Rattus norvegicus: one gene and its partners. The protein of the gene in region 1 purifies or fractionates together with the protein of each later gene. This does not show direct contact. Links are inferred from orthologs where the notes say so. Each region holds a gene or a part of one and is shown on either strand. Other genes may lie near its edges. The genes, in order: Tuba1a, Dnaja1, Hax1, Irs4, Dnajb6, Dnajb11 and Tcp11l2.

Region 1 (4,158 bases):
ATTGAGCAACGACCACAGTAGCAGTGGGGCGAGCCTCTACAGTTCCCACAGTCAGAAAGAAGCCCAGCTGCGGAAAGGGGCTATTTACGGAATTCAGGGAACTACACAAAACTGCACAGGGCTGGCACTGCACAGTTGTCTGGGGATGAAAACAACATCGCAAAAATGGTTTCCTTTTTATATTATAATACTCTCCTCTTTTTAATTTGGCATCTCAGCTATTTTTTACTTGGTATCACCCCCTCCCCCTCAAAAAAAAGGAGCGCTGGAGAAATACAAGCCCACACAAAGAGCTCGTTTTTAAACTCACTCCTTTCTCCTTACAGTTTCTGAATTCCGTATTAGAAGGGATGGCTCATTTCTAGGGACAAAATAACACAGGCTCTGGGGTGAGGTAGGGTCGGGTAAGGGGGCGAGCGGGGAGGGGTGATGGGAGAGCACTACCGCTAAAGAAAGCAAGCTCTCTAGTAAAGCGTTAAGTACTACTTTGTATATTGTTTCTCTTTTTTCCTTTCTCTCTCTCTCTCTCTTTGTTTGTTTTTGGTTTTTGAGACAGGATATCACACTATATATCCAGGCCGGGTACAAAATAACCGCAGTCCTCCGCTTCCCAATGCTGGGATTTACAGGCATAAACCACTAAGGGCGGTTATGATGACCTTGAGCTGCAAGTCTTCCTGCCTCTGCCTCCCAGGTGCTGTTGAGGGTCATAGGCGTGGTCTATTCATACTGAGCTTCTGAATTTTGCTCAAATATTAATAATAATAGTAATAATAATAATAACCACAATAATACAACTGTAAAACTAAACATTTACCCACGCCTTTTTGACCATCATTCCCATAGCTCTTGCTACTTTATTTAAAGCGAACAGAGATGTTGAATCCTGACGGAACGTATTTAAATTTAGTGTAGTATAAATGAAAAGCTGGAATTTACCATAAAGAATCTCAACACAAATTCTGTGATTAAGTGTTGGGGAAAACCTTAAATTATCCTAACTACAGTTTAAGGTTTAAGCTCCGTATAATCACCCAACCCCCGTTTTCTTTCTTCCCTCTCTACCCCTCCCCAGCTCCACCCCATAATGGATGCTCGGCTAGTTGCTTTTGCGAGGCCTTTGTCTGAAGGATGCAAAATCTACGGATGCTAGCGAGGGGGGGAAGGGGGGAGAGATTACCTCATACCATGTCGCTTGCACCAATCACCACTCTCCTGTCGCGGCTTCTCTGGGCAGACGGAGGGGTCTGGACCAACAGGAAAAGGCCTTGGCCCATCCCCATGGTGACCGAGCTGTATATAAGGAGGCGCATCCGCCCAAGTGCCGCAGGTTCTCTTACATCGACCGCTTAAGAGTCGCGCTGTAAGAAGCAACACCTCCTCCTCGCCTCCGCCATCCACCCGGCAGCCGCGAAGCAGCAACCATGGTGAGCAAACCTTCCCGGGCTCTCAGGAGCGGGTGGGTGTCAGCCGGCTCAGTCTGCAAGGAGACGCCTAAGCCTTTTGTCATCTCTGCGGGGAAGGGTGGTCTGGATGCTTTAAGTTTAGCTTAGTCCGTGAGTCCCGCCGCCGCAGTGCGGGACACGGAAACGCCCAGACCGGGAAGAACAAAGGCTGCGCCGGCGAGCGATTGCTGGCAGAGCCCGGGACCACAGGGGACCGGCGGGGGAGAGGGAGGGTGCCGCAGGGTCTGCTGCAGCAGGAGGGCAGGGCGGCGGCCGAGCCCGCACTCCAGAAACGCCGCCCTAACTCGCTGGGAAAATAGTTTGCCTGGGATCCATGGCAGCCGCTGTCAGGGAGGCGCAGGGGCGGGGTTGTTTGTCTCTTGCTTCCGTGGCGTTTTGGGAGGGGTTCGCTCTCACTAAGCCTCACTCCCGAGCTGGGTTTTTTATTATTATTATTATTAATTTTTATTTTTAAAAAGAATCGTTGGGGAATTGTAGTCTTACGAGATGCTCCACGGGGCCATCTCGCTGGGTGGGGGGAGGGGAGCTGGATGGTTGGGAATGACAAAGCCCACTTTGTGAAGCCCGAGTAGCTGACGGTCAGAACCCAGGGAAACGCCCTTCCCCGCCCCCAACCCCCGCAGACAATGAAAGTTGTCCCTCCAAGGCAGAAGTGTCTCTCTCTATAGAATAGTGGTTTATTATGTTGTATGTAGAGATTCATCGGATAAAAATACTATTTTCTACTTTTAAATATTAGTTATCTTTTCACTTGTTTTTTTTTTAATTGTTGGCACTAATTGTGTGCACTGTGTTTCTAACTTAGCCTGCTTTAAGAATGTTTCCGTCCCATCCAATAGAAAACCTTCAAAAACCATAATGATTCTGCTGCAAAGAAAAAAAAAATGATACTCTGCACCCGACTGCCTTTTGTTCTAATATATGACACTCATTCATTAATTCAGGCAGATGGCCCCAGGCAGGGTTGGGAGGCACGCAGAAAGCTGCACAAAGAGATCACGTAGACAGCTTCTGGAAATAGAGCTTTCTCTGTTAAATAATGTAACAGACCACAGGCTAGAGCCAGGCACAGAGAACGCGGCAATGCAGAAGTCAGACTCAATAGCAGGTAACCTAGCCTAGTACTGACCGGGCCCACAGAAGGGTGTGGCTGCTGGCCTCAGCCGCACTGCAGATGTCCACATTGAAATACCAGGTCCTATAGGATGAAACCTTAAACTTTGTGAGACTCGGTCTAGCTTGCAGCTTAGCCAGAGTACTAATGGGGTCCACAGAAGGGTGTGGCTGCTGGCCTCAGCCGCACTGCAGATGTCCACGTTGAAATACCAGGTCCTGTAGGATGAAACCTTCATCCTTACTTAACAAGAAAAGAAGCAATTAATGTAATTTCGGGTAATTATTTCATTTTACAGAATCTATGTTTTGAATATTTTTCAAATATGAAGACTTCTATTCAAACACTGCTATGGGAACAATGGGTTGGCACCATGTCTTAAGCAGTACTAAGGTGACATTGAGGCCACACCCACTTTCAGTATTGGTAGTGGGTACTCCTTCCTCATTGTGTCTGTCATATTAGGGATATGACACTAAATAAATTTAAACAATGTTTGTATTTTTAGAAACACTTTAGAAATCTATTAAAATCTAAAATAGAAGTACAGCTTAATATTACAACAACTTAATTTTATGATATTTTTTCCCCCTTTCCACAGCGTGAGTGTATCTCCATCCACGTCGGCCAGGCTGGTGTCCAGATCGGCAATGCCTGCTGGGAGCTCTACTGCCTGGAACATGGCATCCAGCCTGATGGCCAGATGCCAAGCGACAAGACCATTGGGGGAGGAGATGACTCCTTCAACACCTTCTTCAGTGAGACAGGAGCTGGCAAGCACGTGCCCCGGGCGGTGTTCGTAGACCTGGAACCCACAGTTATTGGTAAGTGGACTGGGGGCTTCCCTGGGGCAGTCCTTCTTGGTCACATACTCAGAATGTCTCTCCAGACCCGGAAGGGTGAGTGAGCTTGTGGGGTCCTTGGTGGTGATGGCTGATGTCTTCTCCTTTTTCAGATGAAGTTCGCACTGGCACCTACCGCCAGCTCTTCCACCCAGAGCAGCTCATCACAGGCAAGGAAGATGCTGCCAATAACTATGCCCGTGGCCACTACACCATTGGCAAGGAGATCATTGACCTTGTCTTGGACAGAATTCGCAAGCTGGTAAATGCCCTATGTGGATGGGTTTAAAATGCAGTGGGAGGGTGTCTTGGTATCTGTCAAAATGTGTCAGGTCTTTCCTATCAGGTAGAGATGGCTCACAGTCTAAAGGAATTGAAATAGTGTATGCCCTGGTAATAAGACATTATATGTCCTTTTCTCCCACAGGCTGACCAGTGCACGGGTCTCCAGGGCTTCTTGGTTTTCCACAGCTTTGGTGGGGGAACTGGCTCTGGGTTCACCTCCCTGCTGATGGAGCGGCTCTCTGTCGACTACGGAAAGAAGTCCAAGCTGGAGTTCTCCATTTACCCAGCCCCCCAGGTTTCCACTGCTGTGGTTGAGCCCTACAATTCCATCCTCACCACCCACACCACCCTGGAGCACTCTGATTGTGCCTTCATGGTAGACAATGAGGCCATCTATGACATCTGTCGTAGAAACCTCGACATTGAGCGCCCAACCTACACTAACTTAAAC
Region 2 (3,500 bases), on another chromosome or scaffold:
GCCCTTTTCTTAAATCCTATAGCCACTGTTAAATTGTACATGTTCCAGTAAATAATCCCCACTCATGCAAGCAATCCTAATTAAACATTACATCACAAAAACCTCTACCACGAAATGATAAATTTGCAAAGAATTTAAAAGGAAGTGGTACAAAAGGTAATGAAGGTTAAAAAAGAAAAAAAAAACAAAACAAAACAAAAAAAACACCAAAAAACCAAAATACACATTATGAATCAAACAGTCAGAATAAAACACATGATTCAGACTAGAGTGGATCAGTACTCACCTTTATCAATATGAACTTCTAAAATTTTCTTCTCTCGAACTATCTTTCTTCCATTGCAGCTTTTACATCTGTCTTTAGGACTGATGCGTTCTCCATGACCCTGGCACTCCATGCACACTGACTGAATTTGCTGAACCATTCCTGGTCCAATCTGATGAATCCTGATCTGCATGCCAGTCCCCCGGCAGTTGGGACAGCACTCTACTGCTCCTTTCTTACCACCTCGGCCTAGACAGTTTTAAAAGAAACTTATACATTAACTTAGCAGTAACCAAGAATCTAATGCCGCAGTATTTAAGGCCTTATGGACTGATATCCTAAAATGTACAATTCAGATAAATTAATATTCTTCTTTGGAAGTTTGAGAGAAAAAGCAAACAAAGGCAAGCTATGAATCTCAGCAATTGTCAAGAGGAGGGTGAGAGGTCTTCCTCTTGAATTAGTTTAAACAAGACACATGGGTCAGCAAAAGCAGTTGCATGTGTTGGAGAGTGGGGTGAAGGGAAGGTGTGTCTTTAGATAAAGGATGTCAGAGCACCACTCTTAGGATTTTTGGCACAGATGGGGGAGGGGAGGTGGATGATGATGATGATGATGATGATGATATAGGAAGGGAAGGGCAAGTTGTAAAGAAATGCCTCACTGATTTAAAGGATTAAGATTGGCTGCTTTTCCAGAGGGCCTGGGGTTGTTCCTCAGCACCCACATAGTGGCTCACAAACATCCTCTTTAACTCCAGTTCCAGAGGGATCTGAACTTCTGGCTTCCACAGGTACTGCATGCAGCAGTACATAGATAAACACACAGGAAAGCAAAACAAGGGACAGGTGTTATGGAGTGTCAAGCCTTTTTAGTCAGCTTCAAGAAGTGGGCGGTCTTAACAGTGAATTTCACTTTCAGAACACTTTAAGGGAGTAGTGAGATGAGCAGTAACTCCAAGACAGCCTGTACCACAATCTTACATTATGTGTTCCCACAGCACAATTTTTTTGAGACAAGGTTTTGCCGATCTCATAAGAGATCTAAAACATGCCTGGAATCAGGACCATCCTTTTTTTTTCTTTAAAAAAAAAAAAGGGTAGACAAAATGCTGTAGTATACACTGTACATTTAACACTAGGAGGCACTCAGGAACTAGAGACAGAAGCCTGGATGACCAACCAACCAACAATAACAAATGAAAAACAAAACTTAAGTATTAATTTCAAAAAGATGCTAATTTAGTGCCACTGAGACAGATCAGAGTTTGAAAAATACTTGCCACCAAGTCTAACCAACCCCAGTTTGATTTTTAATGCATGCATGGTTGAAGAAAAACTAGTTACTGCAAGTTTTCTGACATCCCACACAAACACAACATACATATAAAATGTACAAAGTGTTGTTTAAAAAAAGTGTTAGGATCTACACAGGATTAGGCCCATCAACATCTTGTCATAAAGGAAGGAGCAGATGACCAGGCCTCATCCCTGAAGAGACATTTTCTTCTACATGTAGCTAACTGATTGTGGTGCCTGTCCTTTGGGGAACAGTCCTTCCCCATTCCTGTAAACAACTCTAATAGGACTCACTGGGCCATCAAACCACAGGCACACAGAGGAATGTAAGGAAGAGGAGTTGGAGAAGAGAGCAATGATGAAAATTATATACAGGCATGAAAATGTCACAACAAAGTCATTGTGTTTCTCTTGGTAGAAGATTCAGCTGCTTTTAGTGTTGCATTTCAGTTTTAGAAGTTAGGTAGGTATGGGGTAATCCCTGTGGCTCAGAAATTTGAGGAAGAAAAGATAAAGCCAGCTTAAATCTACAAAAACTGGGGTTGGGGATTTAGCTCAGTGGTAGAGTGCTTGCCCTAGGAAGCGCAAGGCCCTGGGTTCGGTCCCCAGCTGGGGGGGGGGGGGGGAACAAACCTACAAAAACCTATTCTCAAAAACCATCAACAACCCCACTAACAACAACTCAGCACACTTAAGAACCCTTACCTTCACATTTGTCACAAATCACATTTTTTTGCAGAGCCAGTTTCCTTGTTGCACCATTATATAAGTCTTCTAAGGTCACTGAGAGCTGATGCACGACATTTTTACCTAGAATAAAAACATTGCTCATTAAATACCCATCTGTAACGTTTCATTGTTGAAGGCACTATAAAAATGGCAAAAGATAATGGAAGACCAGCCTCATGCTACATATCTTTTTGAACTATACTCACAACATTCCTCCAATCACTTGATTCTCAAGCTTACCTAATCATAGATGAGAAAACTGAGCAGTTCATCAACACAAGAGACCCTCTTAGAAATCCAGCAATTAAAATACTACCCTTAAAAGTCAATGTTCAGGCACATTTCACAATGCAAAGCATGTATCCCTTTGAAAGTTTTACTTGTTAGGCATTATTAAGCAACATGGCCAGTTACTTAATCCAAACATTCTTTAGCACAGTAAATTCTTTCTAATCAAGATTGGCCAGAGAAGCCAATAGAGACACTACTGAAATAGCAATTTCTATTTCTGTTTCAATAGTTTTTACTGCTAGGCTAACATTGGTGTCTCAAATTACCCAGGCCTTTTGTTATAATATTGTCCAACAGAACTTTCTGTAATGATGGACACATTTTATTTGTATAATACTGTAATCACTAATCATAATTACTAGATACAATTTTAAGTGTGGTGGCTACTATAGCTGGACAGAATTTCCCCCCCCTCTAAATTAACTCAACTTGAAGACCCCTATCTGGCTAGTGACAAAAGATTGCCACATATAATTAGCTACAACAGGAAGTAGGTTGGTTGAGATCACATAAGGACAACCTGGTTACAAAAATGAAATCACCCACCAACGGTTAATAAGTTCCTAGCTAGTGATCCTTCCACTAGGACTTTATCCACCGCTATCAACATTGCCTAACTACTAAATAAAGTTCCAATCCTTTCTGAATATCATACGTAAAAAAATATTTACTCTTTAAATGAGGTTATTAAAAGTCTCACTACATTGTGCTTCTAGCTTCACTTTGTATTTTTATTATCATAAAGAGAACATGTAAGCATGTAGGTTCTCAAATTGAAAGTTAGAGCTTTCTCAACTTTATACTGAATACAAGAAAGGAAAAATAAAGCTTCTGGAAAATGACCAAGTACATTTTCCAAAGCAGCAACAAGTTAACAAAACCCCTCAAACTGATCTAAGCCAAAAAGGTTTAGTCAT
Region 3 (4,004 bases), on another chromosome or scaffold:
AGAGATCTACCTGCCTCTACCTCTTGAGTGCCAAGGTTAAAGGTTCTCAGCACTATACCTTACCTTGCCTTTTTTATGTGACTTTGAAATGCCTAAGTTTTGGGAAAGGAGTGGATGATGGTAGAGCAAGACCTGGGGTGGGGACATGGTGCAGTAAAAGGTTTTGGACATGGAAAAAAAAGTTTCATTTTTCTTTATAAAAGCCATATTGCCAAGAACTGGGATCCTGTTTCAGCCTTCTAAAACTGCAAGTATCTCTGCGTTGGTGTATGAAGCGGGTGGGGGTCTCTATATTTTGAGTCAGAGCCTCACTGTAGCTCTGGCTTGCCTGAAACTCAGGTGTGTGGAGCAGAGATCCGCCTGCCTCTACCTCCCGAGTGGGTTAGACAAAAACACCGTCAAATTTCATAACGGCACAGTCTTTCCAAGACATGCTTGAGTAGCTTCTCATTCCTGCCTAGTCTACAAATCTTACGTTGCTGGTTGCCATCTGTTTAGTTTTTTAAAAATAGTAGTGTTTGGTGGCAACCTCCTTTAATCCCAGCACTTGGGAGGCATAGGCAGGCGGGTCTCATGAGTTTATAGCCCCCTTGGTCTGCAATTGAGTTCTAGGACAGCCAGAGCTACCTACACACAGGAACCCTGGGTCGGGGGGGGGGTGGGGGGGCGGAAAAAGTTTAAAAACTCCGTACTAGCTGAAGAGATTCCTATCATCTTTATTCAGCAGTAGGGAAGTCGCGGTGTAAGTATCTTGGTAAAACACTTTGCCTAACCTAGTATTAGACGTCACCGACATCATTCTAGAAACAAAACACAAGGTGGGAGGCGTCACCGTCAGTCTAGAAACAAAACACGAGGTGGGATGTGTTTTCTGATCCTGGGGGAAGCAGGCCTCTGAGTGAACAGGCCACTCCCTCTGGCGGCTACCTGAGACCCTCCAGAGAGAAACGGAAACACGTCTTGGGGTCTGGCAGATCGGCAGGAAGAAGAATCACCTAGAAGGGATGTGATCCTTGGACAGTGGGAATTTCGCACGTCCACCCCCACTCAAAACTGAAAGGTAGCGTATAGAAGCTTCGTGTCTGAGGAGCGCCGTCAGCCCCGCCTCTTCCTCCTCCGAGTTACAGCTTTTACGACAGTGCCGCATCGTAGGCTTGCTTTCCGGCAGCGAACGCTAAGCCTTGGCTATATCCGACAGGGTAGCGTAAACTGGTGGTCTCGTGTTGCCCATGGGCTGCAGAGTTTCAAAGTTTCTAGTACCCCTACGGGAATGAGCGTCTTTGATCTTTTCCGAGGCTTTTTCGGCTTCCCTGGACCTCGGAGGTGAGAATAGTCCTGGGCTGGACTTAAGGGAGGGTGTTTTGGTGGACACTTGACCCCTTCATATTTTTGGAAAGTTTCCTTTCCCGCCCCCTTTAACTCTTGCTGAGAGGTCAAAGATCGCATTCTTGAGTACTCACCCGCCACAGTAATCAAAGCGTTGGTTAAGAGGACAGAAACGGCACCTTTCTCCAGACTGGGGTGATGCAACAGGGACCTGAGCGGAGAAAACAATGGGGGTCTGGGAAAGAGGACCGTGAGCAAGTCATTGGGTGATTAGTAGTGGGCAGGATGACCCTGAAGGAACACCATGGGGTGTCGTTTGGGAGCTGTTGGGAGGTGCGGAGAAGCTCTGCTTAGAAACAATTAAAAAACCTAGTAGATCCATCAGCGTTGTTTTAAAACCAGATCTCCTCTTTGGACCGTTTTGCTGCCCTTGGGTTTAGACAGTGTTAAAGTCTTCGTGGTTTATCTGCCTCCATTCTCAGCCACAGAGATCCTTTTTTTGGAGGGATGACTCGAGATGATGACGATGATGAAGACGACGAAGAGGAGGAAGACAGTGGTGCGTGGGGTCGAGAGAGCTATGCGTTTGATGGTTTTCACCCTACAGAGGAATTCGGTTTCAGCTTCAGCCCCAGAGGAGGGATGCGATTCCATGGCAACTTTGGCTTTGATGATCTAGTTCGAGATTTTAATAGCATCTTCAGCGAGATGGGGGCCTGGACCTTGCCTTCCCACTCTCCTGGTGTGTTAATTTCCCTGAGGGAGAGCTGGGTTTCTAGTGGGTTAGTGATGGATAACAGAACTTGCAGAGTAGTTGGTGATGGATAGTGTGCAGAAACTGATTTTAAAAAGATTTAAAATGTTTTAAGGCCTTTCCTATCCCAGAATCACCTACCAACTTTCTACAGAACTTCCAGGTCCTGAGTCAGAAACACCTGGTGTGAGATTGCGAGAGGGGCAGACACTTCGTGACTCAATGCTTAAGTACCCAGATAGTCACCAACCCAGGATCTTTGAGGGGGTCTTGGAGAGTCATGCAAAACCTGAATCCTCCAAACCAGCTCCAGATTGGGGGTCCCAGGGACCTTTTCATAGGGTGAGTACTCTGCACCTGAACTGTAAACCCTTATATATTGGAATCTCTTGGAGTGGAGTTGAAAATTTAGCCCATCTGATTAGTGCATTTATCTGGATTTTATTCCTTATTGGGATTTTTGTTTTGAAACACTTCACTGTGTAGATTTAGAGATCTGCCTGCCTTTGCCTCTGGATTAAATGTGTGCCACCACACCTAGCCTAAACACACACACACACACACACACACACACACACACACACACACACGAGTATTTTGCCTGCTTGAATGTCTCTGTACCATATGTACCTTGTGCCCACAGAGGTCATAAAAGGATATTGTGTCCCTGGAACTCAAGTTATGTATGATTATGAGCCACCATGCTCTTGCTGGGAACTGTGGTCTTCTGCAAGAATGTCTTCTCCCTCTCCTCATATTTTATTTATTTATTTATTTGTTTGTTTGTGTATTTTGAGGCAGGGTCTCTAGTATTGGCTGATGTAGAACTTGCTATGTAGACCATGCTGACCTCACTCAGGGGTCCACCTGCCTCTGAGTTTGTTAGTTAGGGTTCTGTTGCTGTTATTTGTTGTCTTTTAAATTTAGAGTGAGAGAGAGAGTGTGTGTGTGTGTGTGTGTGTGTGTGTGTGTGTACGTGTGTGTACGTGTACGTGTGCACGTGTACGTGTGCACGCATGCCTGTGTGAGTTTGTATTATTGTGTGGGTGCGGGTGCTTGCAATGATGAGGTGTTGAATCCCCTGGAACTCTCAGCTGCTTGATGTCCTAAAAGAGCAGAAGTGTTCTTAATCTGTGAGCCTTCTTCCCAACCCCATTGCTTCTGTTTTCTTTTTGCAGTATTGGAACCTAGAATAGACTATAAAGGGGAAAATGGAAATATTGTGCTTTTTTTTTTTTTTTAATTACTAGTTTCAATTCTTGGTTAAGAAAGAATCTTAAAAGCGCAGGAAAAAATTTCAGGAATTCTTTTTGACTGAAGTCCATATAAACCTGAGGAAGAAGGTGTGTGAACACAAACTACCCAGATAGAAGTATTTCTGGGGTTTTGGAGCTAGTGAGGAATATGGGTTCTCTGACCTGTAAGTTTAAGATTAAAAGGTGTCTTTTCACTGATTGTGTGTGACTTCTTCTACAGTTGGATGATACATGGCCTGTGAGTCCCCATTCTAGAGCCAGAGAGGACAAGGGTGAGTCTAGAGGGAAGCACATTTACCATGCCATTGTCCTGAAGTTCTCTCAGAAGTTTCTTCCTGAAACACTTGTCTAATTTTCTTCCCTCCACTCTATCCTGGCTTGTCATCTTTCTGCCCTTCCAGATCTTGACTCCCAGGTTTCCCAGGAAGGTCTGGGTCCACTTCTTCAACCCCAGCCTAAATCCTATTTCAAAAGCATCTCTGTGACCAAGATCACTAAGCCAGATGGGGTGAGTTGAGAGAGAAGTTTTGGGTTTTTTTGTTTGTTTGTTTTGTTTTGTTTTTGTTTTTTTCTCTTTTCTTTTTTTCGGAGCTGGGGACCGAAGAGAGAGATGTTTTTTAAAAAACTGTCCAGATGGGGTTGGGGATTTAGCTCAGTGGTAGAGCGCT
Region 4 (4,231 bases), on another chromosome or scaffold:
AGGATGTAAAATATATTCAAGGGCATGCATTCATTCAGTCCTTTGTTCTAGATAGGAGCTTTTCTTTTTGTAAAGTTTCCCAATCTCCTTCAAGGAAAAAAGAAAGTTAATATTTGTTAGTTCCTTAAAGGTACAGTTCAAAACACTGCCCTCAAGAAAAAATATCACGACAGCTCAATATTGTTTTTCAGAAAAAATCAAGTCCGGCTTTTTCCAACATGGCTGTATACTTCGCAGGCCCCCAAATTTGTACTTTTATAGTCGTCATCAATCAAATAGAAACACCACATCTAGCAAATCTGTGTTTTCGTGGACTAGAAATTCACTCTGTGTACAGATAGCGTTAATTTTGAAGGCATCGCCGTAATTCCTGAGTCTTTAGAGTCGTTGGCTTTTGTCAGGGGTGGAGAGGGCGAGGAGGCATGTGCAGCCTGGTGTGCAGCCTGGTGTGCCGCAGGTCTGAGGACCCAGGTCTTTACCGTGTTTCCAGGGATAACTGACATTTTCTCTTGAGAAGCACAGCTCAAAGTGAGAATCGGGAGGAACTACAGCAAACGGTTATCGAAGGGAAACTGTGAGCTGTAGGGAAAAAGAGAAAGGGCTCCTGGCAGAGGGGTCACCAGGCTCTGGGATTTGCAGGAATTTATCACCACCATTGACAGCTATTTTCTGAGGGTTGTTTACAGCCTGATCTAGAGACAAGCAGATTGAGAAGCCCAACTCTGGGACCCCAACCACGCCCCCTCATCCCCCAACTCCCCCCTTCCACTAAACTAATATATTCAGGGCCACCCCCTTGCTTGACCCTCCCATTGGCTCATATCCTAACCAATCAGAACCTTGCAGCAGTTTCACCTGGCTCCCCCCCTCCACTTCCTAAATAAACAAACAAACCATCCGGTGCTCATCCAGCCCCGTCCCCTCCCAACACCTCTATTCCCCCTCCCGCCAACTGAGTGTGGGCTGCTGCGGCATCCCATCTTGCCCAAGTGGCTGGCCGTTCTGTCCTCCACCTCTCACGTCTACCCTCCATCCCATCCTTCTGGTACTCCGGACTGGGCTTGGTGTGGTTAGAGAGCTCCGCCTCCTCCCGTCGGTTCTGCCTTGAACCAAAGGCCCTTAGATTCACCTGAAGGGTGTCTGCCGATTTGAAGATGGCCCTGCTTCCCTGGCTCCCGGTTCCCATCCCACGCACACCTCTACTGGTGGCCGCTTGCGCCCCTCCAGTGCTGGGGTGCGGGCTGCCTCTGGTGCGAGCAGCCGCGTGAGGCGACGGTCACGTGTTGTTTTGCCCACTGCTGTGAGCCCGGTGAAGTGGGCGGGGACGCGGGCCTGGGCGGGAGGGGTCTGGGGCGGGCAGACAGGGGGAGAACTGCCTCTTCTCCCCCGAAGCCCTCCCTTCTCGAGCCCCCCCTCCCCTCCGCTCACCTTAAAACCACCGTGCATCACCATGGCGAGTTGCTCCTTCGCTGGCGACTAAGCGCTAAGGAGACTGAGAGCCGCAGCAGCAGCAGCCTCCGCAGCTCTAGCAGCAGTGGCGACCACCCCGCTTCTTTCCTCGGGAACCCCGACCGCACTCATTGGGACCGGGTCGTCCTGTCCGGGAGCCATGTGGCTCTCCCCAGCCACTGGCTCCCGGTCAGACTCCGAGTCCGACGAGGAGGACCTCCCCGTCGGGGATGAAGTCTGCAAACGCGGCTACCTGCGGAAGCAGAAGCATGGGCAGAGGCGTTACTTCGTGCTCAAACTCGAGACCGAAGACGCTCCGGCTCGGCTCGAATACTACCAAAATGCCAGGAAGTTCCGGCTCAGTGTCCGTGCCGCGGCGGCTGCCGCAGCCGCGGCCGCCTCCGGTGCTGCGGTCCCCGCGCTCATCCCACCGCGGCGCGTGATCATCCTGTACCAATGCTTCTCCGTGAGCCAGCGCGCCGATGCCAGGTACCGACACCTCATTGCCCTCTTTACCCAGGACGAGTACTTCGCGATGGTGGCCGAGAATGAGTCGGAACAAGAAAGCTGGTACTTGCTCCTCAGCCGCCTCATCCTCGAGAGCAAGCGCCGCCGCTGCGGCACGCTAGGCGCGCAGCCGGACGGGGAGCCGGCAGCCCTGGCGGCGGCAGCGGCGGCGGAGCCACCCTTCTACAAAGATGTGTGGCAGGTAGTAGTGAAACCCAGGGGGCTGGGGCACAGAAAAGAGCTGAGCGGCGTGTTCCGGCTGTGTCTTACCGACGAAGAGGTAGTGTTTGTAAGGCTCAATACCGAAGTGGCCAGCGTGGTCGTCCAGCTGCTGAGCATTCGTCGCTGTGGGCACTCAGAGCAGTACTTCTTCTTGGAAGTCGGCAGGTCCACTGTCATCGGTCCAGGGGAGCTGTGGATGCAGGTGGATGACTCCGTGGTGGCCCAAAACATGCATGAGTTGTTTCTGGAGAAGATGAGAGCCTTGTGCGCAGACGAATACAGAGCCCGCTGCCGCAGCTACAGCATCAGTGTTGGCGCCCACCTGTTAACCCTGCTGTCCACTAGGAGGCACCTGGGCTCGCTCCCGCTGGAGCCCGGCGGCTGGTTCAGAAGATCCCGCTTTGAGCAGTTTTGCCACCTCAGGGCTATCTGCCACAGGGAAGACATGCTATTCACCAGACGCTTCATCGCACCCAGAGAGCCTCCGCCTCCCTTCAAGCGAGGAAGGGGGCACCTGCCCAGAGCCCGCAGGTCCAGGAGAGCCGTGTCAGTACCTCCCAGCTTTCCCCGACGCTCAGCACCTAGCCCAGGACGTATCCGACAGCCTGAAGATGCTCGCAACCACCGAGCTTGTCAAGCCTCGGGTTCCAGCTCTGGCAACTCTGAAGAAAAAGACAAGGAAGGTGAGGAAGGAAACGGAGGTGCCTGCATGCCTATGAACAACTGGGGCTCAGGAAATGGCCGGGGCTCCGGAGGTGGACAGGGCTCAAGTGGCCAAGGCTCCAGTAGCCAGAGCTCAGGTGGGAGACAGGGATCTGGAGGTGGCCAGGGCTCAGGAGGCCAGGGTGCTGGAGGAAACCAGCGTTCAGGAAATGGCCAGGGCACAGCAGGTGGCCATGGCTCAGGTGGAGGTGGCCATGGTTCAGGTGGTGGCCAGGGACCCGGAGATGGTCATGGCTCAGGTGGTGGCAAGAACTCAGGAGGTAGCAAAGGCTCAGGAAGTGGGAAAAATTCTGACGATGGTGACCGTGGAAAATCTGTGAAGAAAAGATCCTACTTTGGTAAATTCACTCAAAGCAAGCAGCAGCAGCAGCAGCAGCAAACGCTGCCTCCACCCCCACCGCCGCCGCCAGCAGCTGGAGCAACTGGTGGCAAAGGGAAGTCTGGGGGGAGATTCCGACTTTATTTTTGCGCAGACAGAGGCACAAAAGAACGCAAAGAAGCCAAAGAGGTGAGAAATATGGAGACCTCACAAGGTACAACCCGGGGGTCTCTCAGAGCCAGAGCTCTCTATGAAGATGAGGATGACCCATATGTGCCAATGAGGCCAGGGGTGGCTGCTCCTCTTGCATGTTCCAGCGATTACATGCCAATGGCTCCTCAAAATTCCTCTGCTCCAACCAAGCGTCACTCTAAGTCGCCCTTTGAAGACTCCAGAGGGTACATGATGATGTTTCCCAGAGTGAGCCCACCACCACCTGCTCCAAGTGCTCGGAAAGCGCCGGATACTCATAAAGAGGATGACTCAAAGGACAATGACAGTGACAGTGACTACATGTTTATGGCTCCTGGAGCAGGTGCGATTCCTAAAAATCCCCCCAATCCCCAGGGAGGCTCTTCCTCCAAAAGCTGGAGCTCTTACTTCTCTCTGCCAAGTCCTTTCCAGAGTTCGCCTTTGGGACAGAGTAACCATAGCGAGTATGTTCCCATGTTACCTGGAAAATTCCTGGGGAGCAGTCTAGACAAACACGCCTCCTTTAGCCAGGGCACCAAAGATGTAGCTTCAAAGCCTTCAACTGAGGGGTCATTCTCAAAACCTGAAGATAAGGGGTCGTCTGCAAGGCCTTCAGATGATGTGCCCCCAATGAACCAGGCTAAGGAACCTAACCGACTTTCTTTTATTGCAAAAGGAAATAAAATAAAGCCCAGACCACTAAACCCCACACAGGAGCAGAGAGAAGCTGACAGCTCCAATGACTATATCAACATTGACTTTGTTAAGAGAGAGCACCTTGTGCTAGCTCCCTCTGCTCAAGGACTGCCAGAATTCTGG
Region 5 (3,500 bases), on another chromosome or scaffold:
TCCTTCACCTGTTTTGTTGTGTTTTCCTGTAATTCTTTAAGGGATTTTTGTGTTTCCTCTTTAAGGGCTTCTACTTGTTTACCTATGTTGTCCTTATGTCTTTAGGGGAGTTATTTATTTCCTTCTTAAAGCTCTCTATCATCATCATAAGATGTGATTTTAAATCCAAATCTTGCTCTTTCAGTGTGTTTGAATATCCAGTATTTGCTTTGGTGGGCGAACTGGGTTCTGATGATACCAAGTAGTCTTGGTTTCTGTTGCTTAGGTTCCTGCGCTTGCCTCTCGCCATCAGGTTGCCTCTGATGTTAGCTTATCTTGCTGTCTCTGACAGTGGCTTGACCCTTTTGTAGGCCTGTGCATCAGCACTCTTGTAGACCTGTTTTCTTTCAGCCAGATCTGGAAACAGAGAGCTTCTCCTGTTTGTGTGACCTGAAGCCTCCAGGCAGGTTGGTTGGTGCAGAATAGTTGGTCTTACCTCTGCTCTTAGGTGTCTAGGCCCTCCTTGCGACTGTCTTTCAGCTTTTGGTGCAGGCATAAACCCAAGGGGTCCTGCCCTTGACTGCTGCTGGGTCCCTGTGCCCAGAGGGCACTGATGGCAATAAGGTGGGTCAGGAATGTGAGAAGAAAGTAGTCTCTGAGTTCTCAGAATTGTCCATCCTTCTGAGAGCCCAGCTCTCTCCCCCACAGGGTTTGGGTACCAGGAGCTATGTGACTGGTTCAGTTCAGTTCTGGGTGTAGGCAGAAACCTGCAGGTTCCTGCTGATGACTGCTCCTATATTCCTGTATCCAGAGGCCACTATACAGGTTCCTCTTGGGCCAGTAAGTGAGCAGAAGTGGTGGTCTCCCCTGAGGTATCAGAATTGTCTGCACTTTGGGAGTTCACCTCTCTCTCATAGGGGATTTGGGTGCAGGGAGCTATGGGATAAATTCTTGCTATGTCCAGAGTGGCTTCCAGTGCACTGTCATGCCCAGTGCATTATCAGTGCTGCAATCACAGCGTGTCTGATCATGCCTGGGGGGTTTTCAGGTATGGTTCTTTGTTCAGCAGAGAGTAGTCTGGCTTGGAGTCTGGGCTTCCTTCATGTGCTCAGTCTCTCCATAGTCTTGGAGTGACTGGCCAGCTGTGGGACACGGCAGGGATAGTTGACAATACCCCCAAGGCATCAAGTGAACATCATATTATCTTCCCATGTGCCATCATTTATATCATTCAGATTCTGAACCTTGTCACCATATGTCTACCATTACCACCTGAGTTGTCAGGAAATGTGTTCAGTTTGCAGCAGAGGTTGGGTTGTTTCAGGAACCCACATGGGCTGTTCTTACCCAAACAGTGTCTTTCCTCAGCAGTCTTTGAATACAGTGTCTCAGTCTGGTGCCTGAACATGGGGTGCATGGTAATTTCCTTTCCATGGCACCCTAGATCTCAGGTCTTGTTCTCATTCAGACATGTTTGCTGAACTTGAAAAGCTTGCTCATAACAGTTTTGCCCTCTGCAAATGTGTGTGGCTCCTCCGGATCCCCAGGCCTGTAGGATGGGTGAGAACAACAGGGGCACCTCTGGACAGGCTGTAGCTGCTGGCTTATCTTTGTGCATGGTTGGTTAAATGGGTGCAACATGGTGTGTGTAAGGCCTCTGATTCATTGAATGCCAGTAAATAGCCAGATGCCTTGGTGAAGCTTGCAAGCTCAGTGCTCTGGACTTGTGACGGGTGACCCTGTAGCCACAGGTGTGATCTATTACCCCAGTTGTCCTTCCTTCCTTCTTTCTTTCCTTCCTTCCTTCCTTCTTTCTTTCCTTCCTTCCTTCCTTCCTGCCTTCCTGCCTTCCTATCTTTATTTCATCTTTTGTTGTTTTGTTTTGAGACAGGGTTTCACTGTATAGCCCTCGCTATCTTGGAACTCACTTTGTAGAGCAGGTTGGCCTGCCTCTGCCTCTTGAGTGCTGAGACTAAAGGTGAGCGCCGTCATCTCCCAGCCGCATTACCCTGTTAAGATTCTGGCAGGTTCTGTTGTTACCTACCAGGCTTCTCCACAGGTCTGGCTCCTGCAGAACCTGGGTCTGTGGGAGATGTCCAGATGAGGGCTGCTTTAAATTGCTGACCACATTGCCTTGAGCAGGTGCCTCCCAGGGATGAAAGGGAGGGGGTGCATGTGGGGTGGTTGTACCTTTTTTTGGTTTACTACCAAAGAAAGGCAGCTCTTGAAAGTCTCTGGCTGAGTTGACACATAGGCTGCAATGGGTGGTTGCAGGGCAAAGGTTTATCCTGGGTGAGCTGAGTGTCAGAATAGAGTCACTGCCTCTAGTTTTATGCTTGGTATAAATGATAGCAGTGCTGTTACTCAGTTACAGAGAATGGGAGTTAACCCTTTAAGTGTTGCTTTCTTGTTCTATTTTCAGTATCCACCTAGTGTGGAAAACCTTGTTTCTGTTTTTCCAAAGATAACAGCCTTCTGAATGATGACGGGGTTGAGAGGTGTGATGAGCTGGCTGGCTGGGAAATTTCTGGGAGGACAGAGTAAGCACCTGAGGCTTCCGCAGGCCTGCTAAACCATTCTACTCTTGTGCAGAGGTGATGTGTCCTTGATTGCTGGCCTATGAACATGCTGGGCCTCTTTGCAGGGCTCAATTGTTGGGTTAGCAAGAACCATGCTAAGGTGTCTGCCAGACCTGTGCCTTGATTGATCTGCTGAGAGTCTGGATGATGGTAATAAGCAGAGAGAGTCCATTTCTCTGGTATTGTTTCTTTCCCACTGTGGGAAGAGAATGTTCAGGCCTAGTAGTGCATCAGAGGGAATGGGTAGTTTCTTTATAAATGTATGGTGGCTCTAGAGATGGAGCCATCTTTGGGGAAAGAAGGAAGGTGTGTGAAGCCTTTTGCTCCCAAGGGAGGGCTGAGGCTCACAGCTCTCCTGGTGTGCTGTGCTTTCAGGTGTGGCCGACGAGAACGCCCTTGCAGAAGAATGCCGGCGGAGAGGCCAACCCACACCAGCTCTGGCCCCTGGCCCGGCCCCAGCACCAGCCCGGGTCCCCTCTCAGGCCCGACCCCCGACCCCAGCTCCCACCCCAGCTCCAGCCCAGACTCCAGCCCCTTCTGTCAGCACCCGCCCACAGAAGCCACCCAGGCCTGCCCCAACGGCCAAACTTGTGTCTAAAAGCAACTGGGAAGATGAAGAGCAGGACAGGCAGCGGGTTCCTGGCAACTGTGATGCCCCTATGACCTCAGCAGGTGTGCAGAAGGGAGCTGGTGTGGAGCACCCCCAAAGTGTTTTGCCCCCAGATCCAGGTCAGCAAGCACAGAAGTCAGGCCTATGTTGCTGCATTCTGACCTGAGCGGGCATGGGGTAGGTGCCTGGCCTGCCGAGAAGGGACAGAGAGGATGGATACCTGTGTCCAGCTCCCCTCCCACAGCTGCTGTATGTATGGCCTAGCTGCGTGGCTCAAAGCCAGCCCCATGATTAAAACAGGGGTCCCAGTATTCTGATGTGTATGGAGTATG
Region 6 (3,500 bases), on another chromosome or scaffold:
AAGGGTGTTAACTTCCCTGGATCTGGAGTTTCAATTGCATGCAAGTCACCATGCGTGCTGAAAGCTGGATTCAGCTCCCCTGTAAGAGAAATAGGAACCTTGGGGTGGGGGTGGGGTGGGGGTGGGGGTGGGGGGTTTTATGTAGGTTTTGAATCAGCTTGAAAAGTAGTGGCTCTCCTTTAATTGGATTCTTTTAACATCCTTAGTTTCGTGTAACCCACTCCTCTCCAGAATTGGAGTGTTGTGTGAGCCTCACTCTGTGTTGTTAGCCGTTTTTGTCATTAGAAGGCTGATTCCTAGCATGAGATGTCAAGACTTTAGAGATGAGGTCGACTTCCTGGGGGTGATAAATGTTAAAAATGCTGTAGTTGAGCTGGGACCCAGCACGTGGGAGGCTGAGGCAGGCAGATCTCTAGTTTGAGGCCAGCCTAGTCTACAGAGTGAATTCCAGGACAGGCGGGACAACAGAAAAACCCTGTATTGGAAAAAACAAAAACTTGTGTATAGGTGAGCTGAATATGACTTTATATGTCTGTAAATTCAGCATTTGAGAGGTAGAGGCGGGAAGATCAGGAGTTCAAAACAAACTTCAGATACATAGTGAGTTCAAGGCCAGTCTGAGCTACATGAGGACCTGTCTAAGAAAACCAACCCAGAAACCTAACAGAGTGATTAAAATAACTAAATTACTGTTGGAAAGTGTGACCAGGAGTTTATGAAATAACCCCAACCTTCTGAGTGCTGGAATTATAGGCATGCGACATCAGGAATCCAGGACTTCATGGATTTAAAGCAGGCACTGTCACTGAGCCACGTGCCAGCCATAAAATGTATTTTTTAATATTCTGCCTTATGTCTTGGCTCCCGGTTCATTTCCCCATACATTTTTAAATTATCCGCCATGCTATGTCAGCCTCTATTATATGAGTTCCCTAGCCCCATTGTTGAGATAATATTTTTAGGTTCTATTCTAGTTTTAGGTTTGAATTCTAGTGGTTGAACTTCTGGCAAAAAGAGATGTGAGCATTCTTATATGTTCACCTTACTCAGAGGGCATTTACTGGCCTCTTCAATGAGCTGGGTACGGCCCTTGCCTGGAATGCTTTTTATAGTCTCACTCTAGCTTTCTCCCAACACTTCTTGCAGAGAAAGAACCCTTTTATGGTTGATTCAGCATAGCTCCTGGCAATATTCCCTTATTTTATGCCCTAATTTATATCATATGAATATTCTCAACTACAGTGATACAGAGGCTCCTGCGTGTGGACTTTAGAAGATGTCTGTCATAAAGACTTGATCCTAACAGATTAGCATAGTTACTGGCAATGAATGCATAAAATGTATTTTTCTCCCAGCATATACCATAATCATTGCATCCAGATGTGTGCTATTTTCCCTTCAGGTTTATTATTTGGAGTTTGCTTAATCTTTATGAACTCCTTAGGCCAGTCCATCTTTAATGTCCAAAAGTGCTTCTATTTAGGACATGTATGTGATGTAATCTTTGTGAATAAGGATAACTTTCTTTTTTAATCATTTGACCCTTAGAAACAGGTAAAAGTCACTGGGGTGGGGCTGGAGAGAAGGCTCAGCAGGTAAGGGCTCTTGCTGCTCTTAGTGGAGGACCCCAGCACCCACGCGGTGACTCACAGCCACCTGTAACTACACATCCAGGGAGCCAGCTTTAACTGACACCGAGGGACCTGCACTCACACCCACACATGAGCTCATAATTAAAAATAAAATAAATTCTCTTTTAAAAAAGTATTTGGAGCAAGAATAGGGAGTAAAGAGGGAGCCAATTGGACTGTTTGGTTGTTAGCTGGAAATAGCATGGAGCTATAAAGCAAAGGAAAAGTTTCTCTGCGGAAGGTAATTCTAAAAGAAGAGTGCCGCCCGTCCTGTACATATTTTTGAATTACCTCCAAATCATAGTCCCGTTATGATTATTTCTGTACCTAAGACTATAAATCCTGGCGTGTCCCTTTTTTGTTCATTGTTTTATATATGTGCACATGTCACATATTCCTTTGTCTTTATCCTTCCGTGCTTTTATAGTTGGACTTAACTGCAAAGGGAGATAATGTAATGCACCCTGGGAGATGATAATTCAGCTGTTAAGAGCACGTGTGTTCTTACAGAGGACTCCATTCAGTTCCGGCACCCACATCAGGCAGCTCACAACTTCCAAGGTTCTTTTCTGCTTCTACAGGCATCTGCATGTGGTACACAGGTGCGCGCGCGCGCGCACACACACACACACACACACACACACACACACACGCAATTTCTCTTAATGTAATAGGGAGCTAGAGAGATAGCTAGGACAAACACATGAATTAAAAAAAAAAAAGATTCACGTCTTCCTTGCCAAGGGAAGAGTTGTTGATAGTTAATGGTTGCCGGGTTGAGGGGGGAGTCATTTTCTTTAGGGATGCAGGCCCTGGTAAGTTGCCAGGCTCCAGGAAAAACCTCCCCACCCACACTCATGTAAGTCTCCCTAATTCAGCTCAGTGGGTCACAAACAAAATATATGAAGGGGGGGCTTATTGGGAAGAAAGAAGGGCTCAGTATGAGTGGGGCCATGAGAAAGGGTGAAGGAGTCATGTGAAAATGACCAAAGAATGTTACATATGTACAGAGAGTAAAAAGGTAAATTAAAGAATATAACAGAACTCTCTAATGAAGTCTTACCTGTCCATCCTCTCAGGCGGGATTTCTATAAGATCTTGGGAGTGCCTCGAAGCGCCTCCATAAAGGATATTAAGAAGGCCTACAGGAAACTGGCCCTGCAGCTTCACCCTGACCGGAACCCTGACGACCCCCAAGCCCAGGAGAAATTCCAGGATCTGGGTGCTGCTTATGAGGTGAGTCGTGAAAACAAAAATGGGAACGCTGACCGCGGATGCGGGAAAGACCAGTCCCGCGGATCATTCCTGTTCAAAAGTACATAAGTGAACTGGGCGTTCCCGGACTGTGCAGTTGTTATCCACAGACTCCATTTTTATTTGTGTGTGTGTGTGTGTGTGTTTGTGTGTGTGTGTGTGTGTGTGTGTGTGTGTGTGTGTGTGTGTGTGCGTGTGTGTGTGTGCGTGTGTGTGTCAGGTGTGCATGGGTGCCCACAGATGCTAAAGGAGGCATCAGCTCTCCTGCTGGGGTTAGAGACGATTGGGAGCTGCCTAGTGCGGGTGCTAGGAACCAAACCCAGGTCCTGTGCAAAAGAAGCAAGTGATCTTAATGGCCCAATCCCCTTGCCTCCGCTCTGACAGTGTGTAAACCAAAGTGGGTTGGTGGCCCCTAAAATGACACATAAAATCTTATTTCTTAGGAGGTACTGACTTCATATTTTGTACTGTTCCCATGAATATTATCATTATTTCATAGAAACCTGATACTCAAAAATACTTTCCAAGAGTCTGCATTTACTTCTTCCAGTGCTTTACAATGCACATGTGCTTTTTTGTTTTTGTTTTTGTTTTGTTTTTGAGACTAGGAAGGTC
Region 7 (4,218 bases), about 110 Mb from region 1:
GTATATGTATATCTATGCAAAATACCCACATATATAAACATTTTAAAAAGTATTTTTTTGACAATAAGGAGTTGGTGGAGACTACAGTGAGGAGGTAATTGCAGTCTTGGAAGTTCAGGGACATCAAGACAACTCTTCTCAGAAAGTGACGTATAAACTGAGTTCTAAAGACTCTGGATAAACTTTTTAATAAACAAGAAGAAGACCTTGCAGGAGAGCTAAATAATATGTATGCTCTATGGATACTGTACATGAACTTCCAGGAAACATGATGCACAGATACGCACGCGCACACACACACACACTCAGGGAAGAAAGACAGACAGAATGCACAACATACACGCCACAGGCCTCTAGGTTACCTGTTCTCTGGGAGAGCGTTTGGCCTCAGCTGGAAGTTCTCGTTTACAGCTATTTCGTGAGCCAGAGTCATGTCTGATAAGTTCTTTGCTGCAGCCATCACGTCATCGAACATTATGCCCCGGGGAGGGCTTGTTGCTGAAAGAAAAATGATGTCAGCTATTGCGGTCACCCAAAGCCTCCCAGTGTTGTCAGGCCCATACACCCGTCAATCTCAGGGTTGTATAAAGGATGCACACTTTTAAAAGAGTGGGCTTGGTAACGATTTCAAATATGTCAGCACTTCTTCTGAAGCTTCAGTCGCCACATTTGATATTGAATTTTCAAATGTTCCTAAGACAAACTCTTAACACGGGCTGGTTGTAACTTCTCAGTGCTTATCGATATGCACCTATCTGTGTAAAACAGTACAAACAGTAGATTGATAGATACATAGGGCCAGATTCTTCCTCTATAGGCAGAGTAGCAAAAGCTGAAATCCCTTTCCGATTTCCGCCATGTGTTACTTGACTTCACTGACACATATGCGAGCCCTTATAGGTTCACTCTGAGGTGATTAAGACCGTTTTATTTTATTATTAGTTTTTTTTCTAAGACTGGGATCCTCTGCATATCCCCGGGTATCCTGGAACTCACTAGCCTTGAACTCAGAGATCCACCTGCTTCTGCCGCCCAAGTGCTGATGGTGAAGGTGTGTGCCACCACTACTGGGTGATTTAAGCAAGAACATACAAGAAACTCAGTACATGATTAAAGCAAACAAAATATATTTGAGAGGCTGCTGCATTACGTACTCAGTAGGACACTTGTAGAGAATTTGAGTTATTTCTAGATATCATTGTAAGAAATTGTTCTAAGTAATCAAGCTTACAAAACCACTGTTAGAAAAATCTCAGCTTCGGTTAATTAGAAATCATGACCTCAAAGAATGGCACAACAGGCAATGCCTCGCTTGTTTTAGGGGAGAAGGTGCCAAGGGGGAGTAAGATGAGAAAGGCAGATGATGCTGGGGGTTGGCAAGGCCTTCTTCAGCATGCCTAGGTACCATGACCCCATCTATAAACAGGCAAAACAAGATGGAAACTGGCTATCCAATGACAAGTCAGTAGGTAAGTGTCGGTCTATTTACTTTATGATGCAGTAGTGGTCATAAGGCCAGTGTTTAGGAAACAGTCTAGCATGTTTTGGGTACAGTGCTAAGGGCAAGCATCCAATGAGAAGCATGCGGATTTGGCAAAGTGCCAGCAGCTGGCATGTTTGGGTGACACTGCAGGCAATCCCCTCTTTCCTCTATACCACAGGTCTCCCGAATCTTAAACATGGAAACAAAAACATCTAAATCAACAGAACCGCTGAAGTGGGGATCTGATCTTACTAACATCAGGTGCTTTTCCCACCTTAGCTTTGCCAGTTTAAGATGTTATGGACTTTTAAGACAAAAATGCTGATTCAAAACTTAAAAAACAAACAAACAAACAAACAAAAGGCACAACCAGGCATATTGTTCACCCCTCCAACTGCAGCTCTCCGGGGGCTGAGGAGGAAACTGCCACAGGTTTAAAACCAGCCTGGGCTGCAGAGTGAAATTTTGTGGAAAGGAGGAAAAAAAAAAACAAAAACAAAAAAACCACACAAAAACTACCTACTTGAAACATCTGTGTCCACAGACACTAAATAAATAAATAAATAAATAAATAAATAAATAAATAAATAAGTTAGTAAGTAAGTAAGTGCCGGCCACTCTTCTAGCTTTCTCACAGCCCACAGTGGAGTAATTCTCCCTGCTGGTTCATCTGAGTAGGATTTGCACAACACTGAAATCAGCAGACAAGCCCTCTTCAGATTATTACACTTCCTGCCCACCCTTCCGGCAAGGCAAAATTTCCTTCCATGTGAAACAAGAAGGACCAATGCACAAGATAATCTCAAGAAGGGGTGTTTCTACCACTTAGGAGACAAGAAAGATAGGGCTAGGGGAGGGGGTTTTAGATCCATGCTCAAACCAAACAGGTTAGAGACAAGGCTCAAAATACAATGAGCAGGTTACAAACTTATCCCTAAGAACACACCAAGACTACCACAGTGCCTCTGACACACTATTCTGATGCATCTAGAAAGGATGGGGAAGTGTGTGATTTGCTCACAGCACTGCTGAGTTTTCAAAGCCATTGCACACAGAGCCAGCACCCAACCAACCCCACCTTGCTCCCGTTGCTTACAGGCAGGAGAGCTGGATTTGCTGGAGGAATCGCTGGTGAAGCTTTGTCTGGAACACCCGTAGTCACTGAGGGAAGCCGTACTTTCAGAGAAGCGAGAAGACTCTGAATCACTCTGTTGGTCCTCGTTCACATATTGCTTCTCACCGTTGAAAGGCATCCTTTATCACCTTGGGGATGGATGGATGGATGGATGGATGGATGGATGGATGGATGGATGGATGGATAGAGAGAGAAAGAGAGAGAGAGAGAGAGAAGAGAGGAGAGAGAGAGAGGAGAGAGAGAGAGAGAGAGAGAGAGAGAGAGAGAGGAGAGACACACAGAGAGAACCTGCACAGACAGAGAGACCCTGAATCAACATCATTCTGGGATACCTATTACACCTGCTTCCAACGTGCTTTTTCCAGCATGGATAATAATGCCCAAAGCTGTGACAATCTAGGTGGGAATTGTCCCCAACAAATTACCTCACCCTTCTAGAACCCTGAGCAAGACTTTTGCAAAATCACCCAGACTGCCTTCCACAAAAGGCGTGTTGAAGCCATATTCAGGGGAAATGTGGAGCAGCTCTAGGTGATAGCAGACCCTTCCGAAATGTACACTGTACACAAACAGGCTCTCCTAGGTTGCTGTGACGAAGCTCTAGTGGGCTCCTCAGTCAGACTCTATTCTGTTCTGGAGAAGTCACTTAACCACCTGACTCCATGGGGGAAACTGGGCTCCCAGACTGAACTTCCACAGCTTTGTGAAGACTGAAGAGGATTAACCTCATCACAGCATCAACTGTAGTAACTATTCTTTTTTTTTTTTTTTCCGTTCTTTTTTTTGGAGCTGGGGACCGAACCCAGGGCCTTGCGCTTCCTAGGCAAGCGCTCTACCACTGAGCTAAATCCCCAACCCCGTAGTAACTGTTCTTACTGCCTTGTTTGAAAGGAAGTAAGTTCAGCTGGTGACATGGCTCGGTGGGTAAGGGCACTAGGTGCCAAGCCAATGACCTGAATTCAACCCTGCTATGACAGGAGAAAACTAGTTCCACAAACTGTCCTCTGACCTCCCCCAAGTGCTGGTGGCATGCACAGATGTGAACACACAAACACAGGACATAGCTAGAGAATGGAAGTCTAAAAAACATTAAGGACGTTCAAACTCAAACTCTTGGTACGTTTGTGAGCCTGTCTCGGGAAGCAAAGGCTGATGAGATTTTGCGGGTCGCCAAGACTAGCTCCCCATTTTCATATGAACTATCGAAGCATGAAGACGAAGACTTGTTTGGTCTGTACTCACGAACTTGCTGAGCACCGAGGACCATAGGGTTCTGATGCATACTTGGAGGGACAAGGAGACTCACTGCACCATGGCGCCAGTCCCTGCACTCTAAAGTCAAGTGCTTTCTCTGGGACATTACATAGCATCCCAGGGAAGAAGTCATGCCTGGCACAATCTAGAAAGACCAAGGCACATGAATGCCAGGCCTGGGCCTGAGAGCACCAGTCAGGGCTATGAGGAAATTGGCTTTGCTATGAACCTAGCTATCAGCTGACTGCAAAAGCCAAATTTGCTCAAAGGAGACCCCTCCAACCCTGGATGGAGACTGAGGAATGAGGGAACTCCCTGCAGGGAGGGATGGGGTACTTTCACAAAG

The links.
Region 2: the proteins of Tuba1a (region 1) and Dnaja1 purify together in Homo sapiens (affinity purification with mass spectrometry; 3 studies listed by BioGRID and IntAct, with this or other methods). This does not show direct contact. The link is inferred for Rattus norvegicus from reciprocal best matches to the Homo sapiens genes TUBA1A and DNAJA1.
Region 3: the proteins of Tuba1a (region 1) and Hax1 purify together in Homo sapiens (affinity purification with mass spectrometry; 3 studies listed by BioGRID and IntAct, with this or other methods). This does not show direct contact. The link is inferred for Rattus norvegicus from reciprocal best matches to the Homo sapiens genes TUBA1A and HAX1.
Region 4: the proteins of Tuba1a (region 1) and Irs4 purify together in Homo sapiens (affinity purification with mass spectrometry; 3 studies listed by BioGRID and IntAct, with this or other methods). This does not show direct contact. The link is inferred for Rattus norvegicus from reciprocal best matches to the Homo sapiens genes TUBA1A and IRS4.
Region 5: the proteins of Tuba1a (region 1) and Dnajb6 purify together in Homo sapiens (pull-down; 3 studies listed by BioGRID and IntAct, with this or other methods). This does not show direct contact. The link is inferred for Rattus norvegicus from reciprocal best matches to the Homo sapiens genes TUBA1A and DNAJB6.
Region 6: the proteins of Tuba1a (region 1) and Dnajb11 purify together in Homo sapiens (affinity purification with mass spectrometry; 3 studies listed by BioGRID and IntAct, counting the BioPlex papers as one, with this or other methods). This does not show direct contact. The link is inferred for Rattus norvegicus from reciprocal best matches to the Homo sapiens genes TUBA1A and DNAJB11.
Region 7: the proteins of Tuba1a (region 1) and Tcp11l2 purify together in Homo sapiens (affinity purification with mass spectrometry; 3 studies listed by BioGRID and IntAct, counting the BioPlex papers as one, with this or other methods). This does not show direct contact. The link is inferred for Rattus norvegicus from reciprocal best matches to the Homo sapiens genes TUBA1A and TCP11L2.

The regions. Positions count from the first base shown.
Region 1 is NC_086025.1:131,993,020-131,997,177, reverse strand, and holds the start of Tuba1a (tubulin alpha-1A chain), read left to right. Parts: upstream 1-1,358; 5' UTR 1,359-1,424; coding exon 1,425-1,427; intron 1,428-3,181; coding exon 3,182-3,404; intron 3,405-3,535; coding exon 3,536-3,684; intron 3,685-3,849; coding exon 3,850-4,158. UniProt on the Homo sapiens protein: Tubulin is the major constituent of microtubules, a cylinder consisting of laterally associated linear protofilaments composed of alpha- and beta-tubulin heterodimers.
Region 2 is NC_086023.1:60,641,404-60,644,903, reverse strand, and holds part of Dnaja1 (dnaJ homolog subfamily A member 1), read right to left. Parts: intron 2,374-3,500; coding exon 2,269-2,373; intron 515-2,268; coding exon 287-514; intron 1-286.
Region 3 is NC_086020.1:177,732,543-177,736,546, reverse strand, and holds the start of Hax1 (HCLS1-associated protein X-1), read left to right. Parts: upstream 1-1,204; 5' UTR 1,205-1,270; coding exon 1,271-1,323; intron 1,324-1,371; exon of another isoform or gene 1,372-1,524; coding exon of another isoform or gene 1,525-1,592; intron 1,593-1,808; coding exon 1,809-2,068; intron 2,069-2,234; coding exon 2,235-2,422; intron 2,423-3,556; coding exon 3,557-3,608; intron 3,609-3,737; coding exon 3,738-3,844; intron 3,845-4,004. UniProt on the Homo sapiens protein: Recruits the Arp2/3 complex to the cell cortex and regulates reorganization of the cortical actin cytoskeleton via its interaction with KCNC3 and the Arp2/3 complex. Slows down the rate of inactivation of KCNC3 channels. Promotes GNA13-mediated cell migration.
Region 4 is NC_086039.1:110,145,674-110,149,904, reverse strand, and holds the start of Irs4 (insulin receptor substrate 4), read left to right. Parts: upstream 1-1,431; 5' UTR 1,432-1,609; coding exon 1,610-4,231. UniProt on the Homo sapiens protein: Acts as an interface between multiple growth factor receptors possessing tyrosine kinase activity, such as insulin receptor, IGF1R and FGFR1, and a complex network of intracellular signaling molecules containing SH2 domains.
Region 5 is NC_086022.1:6,173,005-6,176,504, reverse strand, and holds part of Dnajb6 (dnaJ homolog subfamily B member 6), read left to right. Parts: intron 1-2,933; coding exon 2,934-3,230; coding exon of another isoform or gene 3,231-3,287; intron 3,288-3,500. UniProt on the Homo sapiens protein: Has a stimulatory effect on the ATPase activity of HSP70 in a dose-dependent and time-dependent manner and hence acts as a co-chaperone of HSP70. Plays an indispensable role in the organization of KRT8/KRT18 filaments.
Region 6 is NC_086029.1:91,666,301-91,669,800, reverse strand, and holds part of Dnajb11 (dnaJ homolog subfamily B member 11 precursor), read left to right. Parts: intron 1-2,710; coding exon 2,711-2,867; intron 2,868-3,500. UniProt on the Homo sapiens protein: As a co-chaperone for HSPA5 it is required for proper folding, trafficking or degradation of proteins.
Region 7 is NC_086025.1:21,061,882-21,066,099, forward strand, and holds the start of Tcp11l2 (T-complex protein 11-like protein 2), read right to left. Parts: upstream 2,801-4,218; 5' UTR 2,737-2,800; coding exon 2,580-2,736; intron 499-2,579; coding exon 363-498; intron 1-362. UniProt on the Homo sapiens protein: Promotes the migration of muscle-derived satellite cells (MDSCs) during differentiation throught interaction with FMNL2 and therefore may participate in microfilament assembly.